3 linked regions of the Canis lupus familiaris genome follow. The protein of the gene in region 3 binds, or shares a complex with, the protein of the main gene of each other region. Links are inferred from orthologs where the notes say so. Each region holds a gene or a part of one and is shown on either strand. Other genes may lie near its edges.

Region 1 (3,752 bases), on a different chromosome or scaffold from region 3:
CCTTGAAAGTGCTGAAAGGATGCAGTGAAACGCTGGGACACCTGCACCCCGATGTTTACAGCAGCAATGCCCACAATAGCCAAACTGTGGAAGGAGCCTCGGTATCCATCGAAAGATGGATGGATAGACAAGATGTGGTCTATGTATACAATGGAATATTCCTCAGCCGTTAGAAACGACAAATACCCACTATTTGCTTCAACATGGATGGAACTGGAGGGTATTATGCTGAGTGAAGTAAGTCAATTGGAAAAGGACAAACATTATATGGTCTCATTCACTTGGGGAATATAAAAGTTAACAAAAGGGAATAAAGGGAAAGGAGAGAAAATGAGTGAAAATATCAGTGAGGGTGACAAAACATGAGAGACACCTAATTCTGGGAAATGAACAGGGGTAGTGGAAGGGGCGGTAGGCGGGGGGTTGGGGTGACTGGGTGATGGGCACTGAGAGGGGCACTTGGCGGGATGAGCACTGGGTGTTATACTATATGTTGGCAAATCGAACTCCAAAAAATAAAAATAAAAAAATAAAAAATAAAATCAGAAAAAAAGAAAAAAAATGAAAGTGCTGAAAGGCCAAATTCCCAGTGTAGTGGAAAACACAGCTGTCAGAAGTCACCCGCCCTCAGGCTAGAGCCGCCCAGAATCAGAAACGAGAGAGAAAAGAATTTTGACCTTTAAAGTATAGGCATTTCATATTGTCAGGCAGTGCAATATTGCTGGTGTTTACAGGTTTTACTGCTTGTGGTCAGCACGTTAACACATCAGTTGGAAAAAAATAATCACAAAAGAGTGACAGCAGTTCTCTTACTCAAAGGGTAAACTGACTTTTCCTGTGATTCTGTGGCCTTGAAGAGAGCCAGATAGAACCTAAGCATCCTGTCAGTCATAAGTACTGCCCTTTTTCAGCAGAACCCTCCAGTTGGTATTAACCTTTCTTCAGTGAAGACATTTTTATATCTAGATTCAAATTTGTTCACCAATATGGGTGGAAAATAGGCTGATTATCCTAGTAACTTACCATTTTCTGAGTCATCACAGTCAAGAAGTCACTAAAGTTCATTTTTCCTGTCCCTTCCTTATCGATTTCACTTATCATTTTTTTGATCTCTTCTTTTTTGGGTTCAAAGCCCAGTGCCCTCATTGCCACCTACAATGAAAACAGGATCATGTCAATATGCACATCAAAACCTGGCAGGAACAAAAATGACAGTGAGAGCATGAGGCCAGCATCTGACACAATCATGTTAAAATGACTGGGAAACACTATAGCGTTATGCAGATTGATATTTGTGCTCAATTTTATTTTATAACACTTGAGGTAAATAAAGACAGGAGAAGAGAAAAACAGGAAAACTTTTTGCAGGGAAAAGAGGGCAAAAGGGGTAGAGCAGTGACAAGGAAAGAAGAGAAAGAAGTAGAGGAAAGGAAGGCAGTACAGTGGGAATGTAAAGGGCTTGCCTTAAGTTCCTTTACGTCTATGGTCCCAGTTCCATCAGCATCAAAGAGATCAAAAGCTTCCCGGATTTCCTGTTTCTGCTCTTCAGTCAGCTCCGGCTTAGGACTCATCCTTTTTCGTTGGGCAGATGATGCCATGCTTGCCTTCTTAAAGTTAGAGGCCTTTAGGTGTTTTACAAACACAGAAGTACGATATTAAGTGATGCAATCCATATTTTACATAAAATAGTTACAAATATTTACATAAAATATTTACACCAAGCAATTCCACAGCTTTGCTTAATAGGAGAGATAACAGGGCTTTACTTGAAACAACAATCTTTCCGTGCACCGCTATCCCTCCTTCTTTTTTCCTATTCTTTGTAGAAGCAAGGAGATCCCGTGTTCCTTTGCACATCTCTTATTGAAAATCATCCCCAAAGAGATCCAGCCAAGGAGCTGACTGTGGATAACTGTACAGATGATCAGCTGTCCTTGAATTTGGCGATCCTAATTCAAGAAAAGCCCTTACAACATTGGCTCGCAGTATTCCTCCTCTCTGTACTCCAACTTTGTGATTACTTCTACATTTGGCCCAATATTACTACTTTGCTAAGGTGTATAATAAAATTCCATCCACTAGGCAGGTCTGTGCCTACTTTAATTAGATCAAAACGTCTCCCGAAAGATCCCTGTATTTATTCAGAATGCACGTTAACAATCAAACATAATAAACCTCCTCCCAGGTCTGTGGGTAAACTTTGGTAGCACGAAGCGACCAGGAGGTCAGGGTCTGAGAGGTCAGAGCCTGCGGGTAACCCGAGTATTCTTTGACCAGGGGCAGTCACGCGGGGGCTGGCAGGGGAAGGCCACGCGCGCCCGAGGGATGGGTGGGCGCAGACTGAACGAAGGGGAGGCGGCGCAGGACCGCAGGCCCAGGTGGCGGCCGACGTCTCTACCCTACCCTTCCGGGAACTAGCCGAGAGGAAGTAGGGGCACTCCAAAGCCGAGAGCGGCGCGGGAGCGACGGCAGGGCCACACGAAGCCTGAGAAGGGCTCAGCCCCTGGCCGCGGGGCACCAAAGGGCGGCCCCCACTCACCATTGCCGATGGACTCCGCGGACCGTTGTTACGGCAACCGACGTACACACTGACTCGGCGCCTTTCCCACCGCCCCGCGCGCGCGGCTCCGCTCCCCATTGGCAGCCCGCTCGCCGCCGCTGCTCCCCATTGGCGGGGAGCCGTGGTGGGTGGGGCTAAGCGGACAAAGGCCAGGCCCAGGGCAAGGGGGCTGTGCTTTCACAGCCGAGGCCTGGCCTCATTGGACAGGATCACATTGTGAGCGCCGATTGGCTGAGCCGGCGCCGAGCTGAGCCAATCCCCTTGGCGGAGGCATCTCGGCCGATCCTCGGCTCATGCTGGTGGGGAGAAAAGGGTGACCGCCAGCGGCCCGAGGCCTTTGGGTGCAAGCTGAGGGCGCGCGGAGGCTGGCCGGGGGGTCGCCTACGGACGGGTAAGGGTCACGACCTCACCCTCGGAGGCTGCCTTCTATCCGCTACTGGGTGGGAGGGTAGGGGGCTGGGTGGGGCCTTCCGGTTGGGGGCTTTCTGGTCTGGCTTAAGACTGAATTTGGAAAGAGGGGCCAGAGAAGACCGTGACCTTGAGGGTCAGAGCAGAGACTGTGCTCAAGGGACAGCAGAGCCAGAGAAGGGAATGGGAGTGTCGAGGAGGTGTGGACAGCTGCGACTTAGAAACCGAATCCCGCTGAGGCTCTCCCTTTGAGGGGGAGTTTTGAGGGAGTGAAACAGATATGACTGAGCATGAGGGGAGAGGTCATCAAAATGTACTTTTTGACACCCACTCGGGCGGAGACACTGAGCAAAGTCACACAAGAGTTTTGAAAGTGTGAGGGGTGCCTGGAGACTGTTCTTTTATAAAACTCTGTTAAATTTCTTTTGTTTTCTTTAATCATGATAAGTGCAGTCTTTATTTCCCATCACCAATGTAACGTATTCCCCCCCCCACCTCCCCTCTGGTCACCATCAGTGTGTTCTCTGTAGTTAAGAGTCTGTTTCTTGGTTGGCCTCTCTTCACCCCCCCCCCCATGTTCATTTATTTTGTTTCTTAAATTCTACATATGAATGAAATCATATGGTATTTGTCTTTCTCTGACATTTCACTTGCCATAATATTCTCTAGCCCCATCCATGTCAATGCAAATGGCAAGGTTTCATTTTTTATGGCTGGATGGTATTCCCCACACACGCACACACATACACACACACCCCACATCTCCTTTATCCACTCATCTGTT
Region 2 (3,652 bases), on a different chromosome or scaffold from region 3:
TTCTAACAGTGGAAAAATTCTGGTTTAATATTAGACTTCCTCCAGAAATAGCTGTGGAACAGTATCCTTCAATAGTAATAGATAATACATAAAATTATGTATTAACCAGAATCAAATGTTCTGGTTCAGAGTTACTTGTTCCAAAGTATAAAATAGACACTCATTTGTGGTCAGTTATCATTGAAAAGTAATTAACAAATGGAGAAAATATACAGTTCTTGGCTGTTTGATTTCTAAACAGTAATAAATTTTTATTTGACTACTGGTATTTTCAATAGGTAGCCTTTAAGATAGCTAAAGTATGTGCTAAGTTGGTCAAAAGTTCTATCTTTCAAAGTCAGAGCAGATGTTTAGCCATGGTCATTTATTCTGGAAAGAACCCAGTATCAGCGGCTCCAATAATAACATAGAAAAATGAAGGGTAAGGAAAGGGTGAAGATGGCATGGGACTCTGACTTCAACTGCTAATAAAATCACATTTTAAAACTGTATTTACTTAAGATGTTATAATATGTTGCATAAAATCATTAATGACGATGATACAATGCCTAAAATAGCCTGCAACTATGAAAAAAATGTAATCAGAAAAACATGAATACAAGACTTTTTATGTTCAAGTGGATACATACACAATTATTTCCGGGTACTAAAGCAAAGTGAAACAAAGACAATTTTTTAAAGTAATAATAACAAATACTAAATAGTACTTACTATTATAGCTAGGACCCCTTCTAATAAACATTTGACATATTTTATGTATTAACTTATTTATTCCTCCCAAAAATCACAAGATACTACAACTATCCCACTATATATAGCTGCAAATGAGTCAGAGACAAGAAAAATGACCAAGTCATACAAAAACCAATATCTGAACCCAGGCAATTTGGTTCTAAAATGTCCATGATAAACCACTACATTGTATCAAATGTGCCTGAACTGTAGCTCTTTCCTAATAGTATCATTGCCACTATATCCTAATACCTGTTTCTATAAATTAACAATCTAAGTTGGAACTTGGACTAAGATCACTAACTGTAGAAGAACTTCAATAATGAAAGACTAAAAGAATAAAGATGGTTCCCTCCCCCTTCTCAAGTAAATAAGTCTACAGATTAGGAAAAACAACAACAATAACAACAATATGCTCCCCAAGAGATGAGCTGCCTTTCTAAACAGTTATTTCTTAATTTATAAAGTGGGGATATTCTGTGTTGTTCTTCCTTTCTCTTTTAGGTTTATCCTTTAATTTTCCTCTTCCTCACCTTGGTTTTGAGTTTTCAAATTAAAAAAATAAAACCAATGATTTAATGATATGAATCTATCTTTTCCAAACTCCCATTTGTTTTTGCTTTCTGTACTGCTTCATGCAGTACAATATTCATGCTGAATATTTACACAAAAGGTTTGTAACTGGATTTGTTTCTAAATTTTTAAAATATCTTAAAATAACTATATGCTTATATCATGACCCATATTAAGTATTACTGCTTTAGAAAATTAAACTCTGAATAGATGCACATTCTATGTATAATATTCTATGCAATATATTTAAATCATAATAACAAAGGCCTTGCTTTCCAGAATCTTCTATTCTAAAAAAGCTTGATATATGCTATAACTAATTCACTAAAATCAACTATATAAAAATTCAATCATATTAAGCTCATGACACATTATGCTTAGTTGGTTATTCTAAAATGTTTTCTCCTGCTTGAGTTTGCCAAATGCCTTTATTACAATCCTCTCCCCATTCTCAACTTTAAACAGATGACTTTATTCACTGAGATCAAGTCATACAGAATATGCAGCCCCTTATAAGCTTTGTCAACCTGAAGGCATGCACTTCATCTTCAGCCAAAGATACCAAATGCTATAGGTTTTCTCTTCTCCCACTCTGCCAACAAAAATCACACACCAGAATGGTCTTAGGAAATATTTTCCAAACAAAAGGATACCAAATTTTCTGTTTTAGTCTAAGAAAATAATTTTTTGATCACCTTTTTAGTTTTATCACATGATATAAACTTAGGAAGACATCATTCCACAAAAAGCTACATAATAGTTCCTTAATTAGAATCTTCAGAACAAAAGACAAAATGATAAATCCCATAGTGAAGCTGTAAATCTTATTTTTTTCTTTGAAAATAAGTAAGAAGAGTGCCCCCAAATCCCTATAATAATATCTACATTATACAGCAATGTTCAATAACAAAATTCCATAACCCAGAGAATTAAAAAAAAACTAATATTAACCAGATAATTTCCTAACAAGTGCTAATTACAAAGACTATTAAAATACACACCAACTTCATTAAAATCTTCAAAGGTGATTTTCCCTGTGGCTTCTCTGTCATAATCTTTAAGAATCTTCAGTACATCAGCTTTTTTTACATCAAACCCCAAGGCTCTCATTGCCACCTTTTGGATTAAAAGGGAAAAGCAAATTATAAAGCACTCTTTCAAAAGAAGTGACTTCCAATTCTTAAATAAGTTTTTACAACTTAAGAGATGTCAGCACATTAATAAAACATTTAAATCTTTTGCAAGTTTTATGTCTCTTAAAAAATCAAAGTGATAGCTTTTCTCCACTACTGAAATAGCAACTTTTTCATTTACATATCCTTTTTTATATGACAAACCAATCAAATGTTTATAAAATACACCATACAAGACTGACTTACTGTACAAATCATTTTAACAAATTATTTGTTCTCAAATGATTACCAAAATGAAAAAAAGTATAGCATAAATATTAAAAATGTATACAACAGAAGAGATAAAAAAATTAAAGTAAGAGTTATCATGAGACTCTACATGATTAGTTATTAAGTAAATAGTCCAGGCCCTGAGTTTAAAGAAAGAAAAGATCTTGTTACTATTAACAAAAAGGAGAGACAGGATACTGATTAAAGAAATCTTACTCGGAAAGGTTCCATTTGTTCCCTGATATATGGATGAAATAAAGTAGAAGAGCACTGAGAAAAGGATGACTGGCATTAAAACAGATACCATAATATATAGGCTTAAGGACAGTGAACAGAGCAGCTTACCATACCTGAACCGGAAGAGCTCAGGTGGAAACAAGTCCTTAGCAATGAGAAAAGTAGGTAGTAGTAAAAGTGTGGGGAGTATTCAATAAAAATAAAAGGAATCTGAACTTTATGCAGTGTACAATGAGGAGCCACTAAAGGTTTACGAACAATGAATAATAGGAGGAAAGAGTCTTAGAAAGGTGAATCTAATGGTAGTATACAGAGCAAACCAGAAATGGAGAAAACATTTAAGAAGATCCAGGTATGAAGTAAGATCCCAAACCAAGATAATAACAATGGTAACAAATGGAAGAGACAGGGCAGCCCGGGTGTCTCAGCAGTTTAGCACCATCTTCAGCCCAGGGCGTGATCCTGAGAACCTGGGATCGAGTCTCAGTCGGGCTCCCTGCATGGAGCCTGCTTCTCTCCCTGTGCCTGTCTCTCTCTCTCTGTGTCTCTCATGAAAAAATAAATAAAATTAAAAAAAAAAAAAAAAATGGAGCTACCAAAATGTCGCCTTTCTCATGCTGAGTGTGAGATCTGTACTACCCTAAACTTTAATTTTCCCTCACATCTTTATAAATAATTCTAGGCCCTAAAGTTGACATTTTCCCCCA
Region 3 (3,752 bases):
CTGGAACAAGGCATGAGATCAAGATCCAAAGAAGAGGCTAGTGGAAAGAAAGGGAGCAAGAAGAGATGTGAATATCCGAGAGAGAAAAGGTAGTAGGGAGAAGGGCATAAGAGGTGGGATTTAACTCAGACAAAGGGAAACCGGTGAAAACGAGTATAGATATAGATCCAGGTTTGTAGGTTTGAGGGTGGAAAAAAAAAAAGAGAGTGCATGCCTACAGGCTTCTATTTTCTCTGTGACTAGGAGGCTGAGGGATCAGCTGGAAGACAAGATTTGAGGAATGTGGAAAAGTCTGAGATAGTCACTGCCGTGAACAGGACAGGGGTGACCAGATGGCCACAGAAGGCCTGTGTCAATCAATGGCTGCTTATCAACAAGTCTGTATGTCTGCTCATCTGGGATGACAACAGGTCACAACACCAATAAATCATGCCGCTGAATCTCAAGCATAGGTCTTAGACCCTACAACCTCTATTTTTTCCCTGTCTACGATAAGATATTTGGCTTTTTTTTTTTTGGGGGGGGGGGGGAAGTAGGAAAAAAGAACTAACAGAATTTGCTATCTTAAACATCTTCAAGGGTAGAGTTCAGTAGCCAAGGGCATCACACTGTTGTACTACAAACGTTCAGAATTTTTTATCTTGCACAAAAGAAACTCTGTAACCCATTAAACAACTCCCCATTTCTCCCTTCCCTCTGGCAGCCAACATTCTGTTTCTAGGAATCTGACTACCTTAGGTATCAAACATAAGTGGAACCACACAGTATTTATCCTTTTTTGGTTTTTTGGCCGGCTTACTTCACTTAATACAATGTTCTTAAGGTTTATCTATGTTGTAGCATGTGACAGGATTCCCTTTTTAAGGACAAACATCTCGTAGTCCGTATACACTACATTTTGTTTATACACTCATCCACTTATGGACATTCAGGCTGCTACCCTAGGATGTTTAATTAAATATACATATATTCTCCTGACTCCTGGCTGTGAAAAATGATTCCTTTCCGTGTTGTCGATTACACACTCCTGTCACAAGGCATTATACAATGTATACACTCTTTGCAATTGTTGGTAACTCCTTTTCCTCTTTCCTCCAATGATTTATGTTTAATGACAGTAACTTGGTATGTACTAAAGAATAGTATTTAACCACACGTGTAACATGCAAGCCTTGTTTTTAAGATTATATCTGGGTAGGGAGATTGGGACAGCCGTAGTAAGAGTATAACTTCATGGGCAGCCCGGGTGGCTCAGCGGTTGAGCACCTGCCTTCAGCCCGGGGCCTGATCCTGGAGACCCGGGATCGAGTTCCGCATCGGGCTCCCTGCATGGAGCCTGCTTCTCCCTCTGCCTGTGTCTCTGCCTCTCTCCCTCTCTCTGTTTCTCATGAATAAATAAATAAAAATCTTAAAAAAAAAAAAGAACATAACTTCATGACCCGCATTCATATATATATGAAAATCTGATGTAATAAAATGAATTAGCTTGTGCTTTAAGTAGTTTAAACACCTGAGTCTGGCTTACGACCATTATTACCCTATAACCCTCAGTGATGTTACTTAACTACCCCCAAGTCTTTTTTCACCAGTCTGTAGACTGGGGTACTTAATAGCAGCTTCTCCGTAGGTGTGCAAAGGGGATTAGATGAAATCATGCAAGTGCAACAGTCCAATGCCTGGGGACATATCAGAGGCTCGATAAACATAATCTTTTATCATTTTTTTTTTTTTTTTTAAAGGTAGGACAGAGTCACTGAAATGGCTAGATTTGCAGAATTCAGATTTCGACTTTACAGTAATACCAGTCCTATGGCAAGTAGAACCAAGCACTCGCACCCCTCCCCCAACCCCACCCTCGCCCCAAAAAACCCCAAAACACTGCGGGGGGGGGGCGGGGGACAGGAAATATTACTCTTGAATGACATTCTCTACCAGTATGTCATAGACACGCTGCTAAAACTGAATCCAAAAAGCTAACTGTATGTCACTGAGCTGGAAACTGCGTTTTGTTTTGTTTGGGGGAGGGAGGGGGGATTGTGTTTTTAAGCCCAGCTCCGCCGCGTGCAGGGCTGAAGGCATCCTCGCCCCGCCCATGAGGCGCCGAGAGTCTGGACGCCGCAAACGCACCCACTCCTCCCAAAGCCTCAGGGGCGGCACCGCCCAAGGCTGAGACACCCCCCTCCCGGCAGGATGCACCCCGACTTCCAGGCCCCCTCTCACTACCGTGTCGGATCCGCCTACTCGGAAGTGCGCGTTCTCAGGTCCTCCGGCCTCACTGCGGGGAGATGGGGGGGGGGGCCGCTGGACCAAACCCCCCTGCCTCCCTCCTGAAACCCCACCGTGAGGGCTGGGGCGGCAGCACCGAGGCGCGCCATTCAAACCGGGGAGGGCTGGGACTCTAGGCCCAGAGCTAGGCCAAAGCAAGCACCATACCCACAAGCGAGGGCCTGCATTGCGAGGAACCTCACGGCACCTCGCACTAAAGGACCAACCTTCGTCCTGCCCAGCAAGTTCCCCCTTCTGCCGCGGCCGCCCTTACCCGAATTTACCGCCAACAGCGTCGCCATCTTGGAGGCGCCCTAACGGAGCCCTCCTGCCGCACGGAAGCCCCAGGAAAGGGCGAGGCTGCCCGACGCGATGCCTGAGCAGAAAGGTAACACCCTGTCTCGGAGTGGCACTCTCCACACACTCAGAGGCGGAAGAAGCCTTGAAAGGCGGCTGTAGAAGAAGAAGACGAAGAAAAAAAAAAAAAGCTGCTGTACGTCACAGGCGCCAATTTTCGCCGCGATCGGCTCATTCAAATTAGGCGAGGGCAACCGGTTCGGAGACCGGAGGGCCTCGATGTGACGTCAGTCGTGTAGTGGATTCTGGTCCTTGTAGTTTTTTTCCCCAATGATGAGTGACGACATCAACAGAAAGATGAGACTGATTATTGAAAATTACGCCTATTAAAAAAAAAGAAAATTACGCCTATTTACGATATAAAAGCCGTAAACTCAGGTCATTATCTCCATATCAAGTTACACCTTCCTTGCATTTCTCTCTGAGGAGTGGAGTGAGGTGTAAGGTATACAAATCTCAAAAAGCTATTTAATCAGTTACAAACTAAGTTTTCATTACATTTCAATATGGCAAGTGTATTGCATCAACATTGTTGCATAGGTTGAAACAAATCTAAGTGAAACAAATCATGACTTTTGTTACATTTGTCAAATGTATACAAAAGTAGAATAATGAACACCCAAAGTTCAATTCGCGGCCTTTACTCCACCCCTAACAGGGAAGATTATTTTGAAGACCTTTCCAGACAGATCTCATAAATACCAAATATTTTTCTACCTAAGCACCCTCAAGTAGCTGGATCTTTTTCTTTTTTAACATTATTTATTTGAAAGAGTGAAAGAAAATGAGCAGATGGTGGGAGCAGAGGAGAAGGGGAAGCAGACTCCCCACTGAACAAGGACCAGACCTGGGGCTGGATCTCAGGACCCCAAGATCATGATCCCAGCCAAAGGCATACATACACTTCACTGACTGAGCCACCCTGGGACCCCAAATAACTGGATCTTCTTTTTTTTAGTTACTGAATTTTAGTTTGCAAATTTTCCAACTAAAATATAGTCATTACCATTTATTATTCTATGCCAGATGTTTATTACCAATTTCACATTATAGGATAATGTACTGATTATTATTATATCTCATTTAATCCTCAAAACAACCCTATTAGGAAAATGATGTTAATTATAGCT

The links.
Region 1: NUP205 (region 3) and CETN2 share a complex: the UniProt entries of both Homo sapiens proteins name them as parts of the nuclear pore complex. The link is inferred for Canis lupus familiaris from reciprocal best matches to the Homo sapiens genes NUP205 and CETN2.
Region 2: NUP205 (region 3) and CETN3 share a complex: the UniProt entries of both Homo sapiens proteins name them as parts of the nuclear pore complex. The link is inferred for Canis lupus familiaris from reciprocal best matches to the Homo sapiens genes NUP205 and CETN3.

The regions. Positions count from the first base shown.
Region 1 is NC_049260.1:122,023,937-122,027,688, forward strand, and holds the start of CETN2 (centrin-2), read right to left. Parts: upstream 2,679-3,752; 5' UTR 2,639-2,678; coding exon 2,540-2,638; intron 1,623-2,539; coding exon 1,464-1,622; intron 1,153-1,463; coding exon 1,024-1,152; intron 1-1,023. UniProt on the Homo sapiens protein: Plays a fundamental role in microtubule organizing center structure and function. Required for centriole duplication and correct spindle formation. Has a role in regulating cytokinesis and genome stability via cooperation with CALM1 and CCP110.
Region 2 is NC_049224.1:18,666,135-18,669,786, reverse strand, and holds part of CETN3 (centrin-3), read right to left. Parts: intron 2,422-3,652; coding exon 2,307-2,421; intron 1-2,306. UniProt on the Homo sapiens protein: Plays a fundamental role in microtubule-organizing center structure and function. As a component of the TREX-2 complex, involved in the export of mRNAs to the cytoplasm through the nuclear pores.
Region 3 is NC_049237.1:12,346,152-12,349,903, forward strand, and holds the start of NUP205 (nuclear pore complex protein Nup205), read right to left. Parts: upstream 2,697-3,752; 5' UTR 2,568-2,696; coding exon 2,540-2,567; intron 1-2,539. UniProt on the Homo sapiens protein: Plays a role in the nuclear pore complex (NPC) assembly and/or maintenance. May anchor NUP62 and other nucleoporins, but not NUP153 and TPR, to the NPC.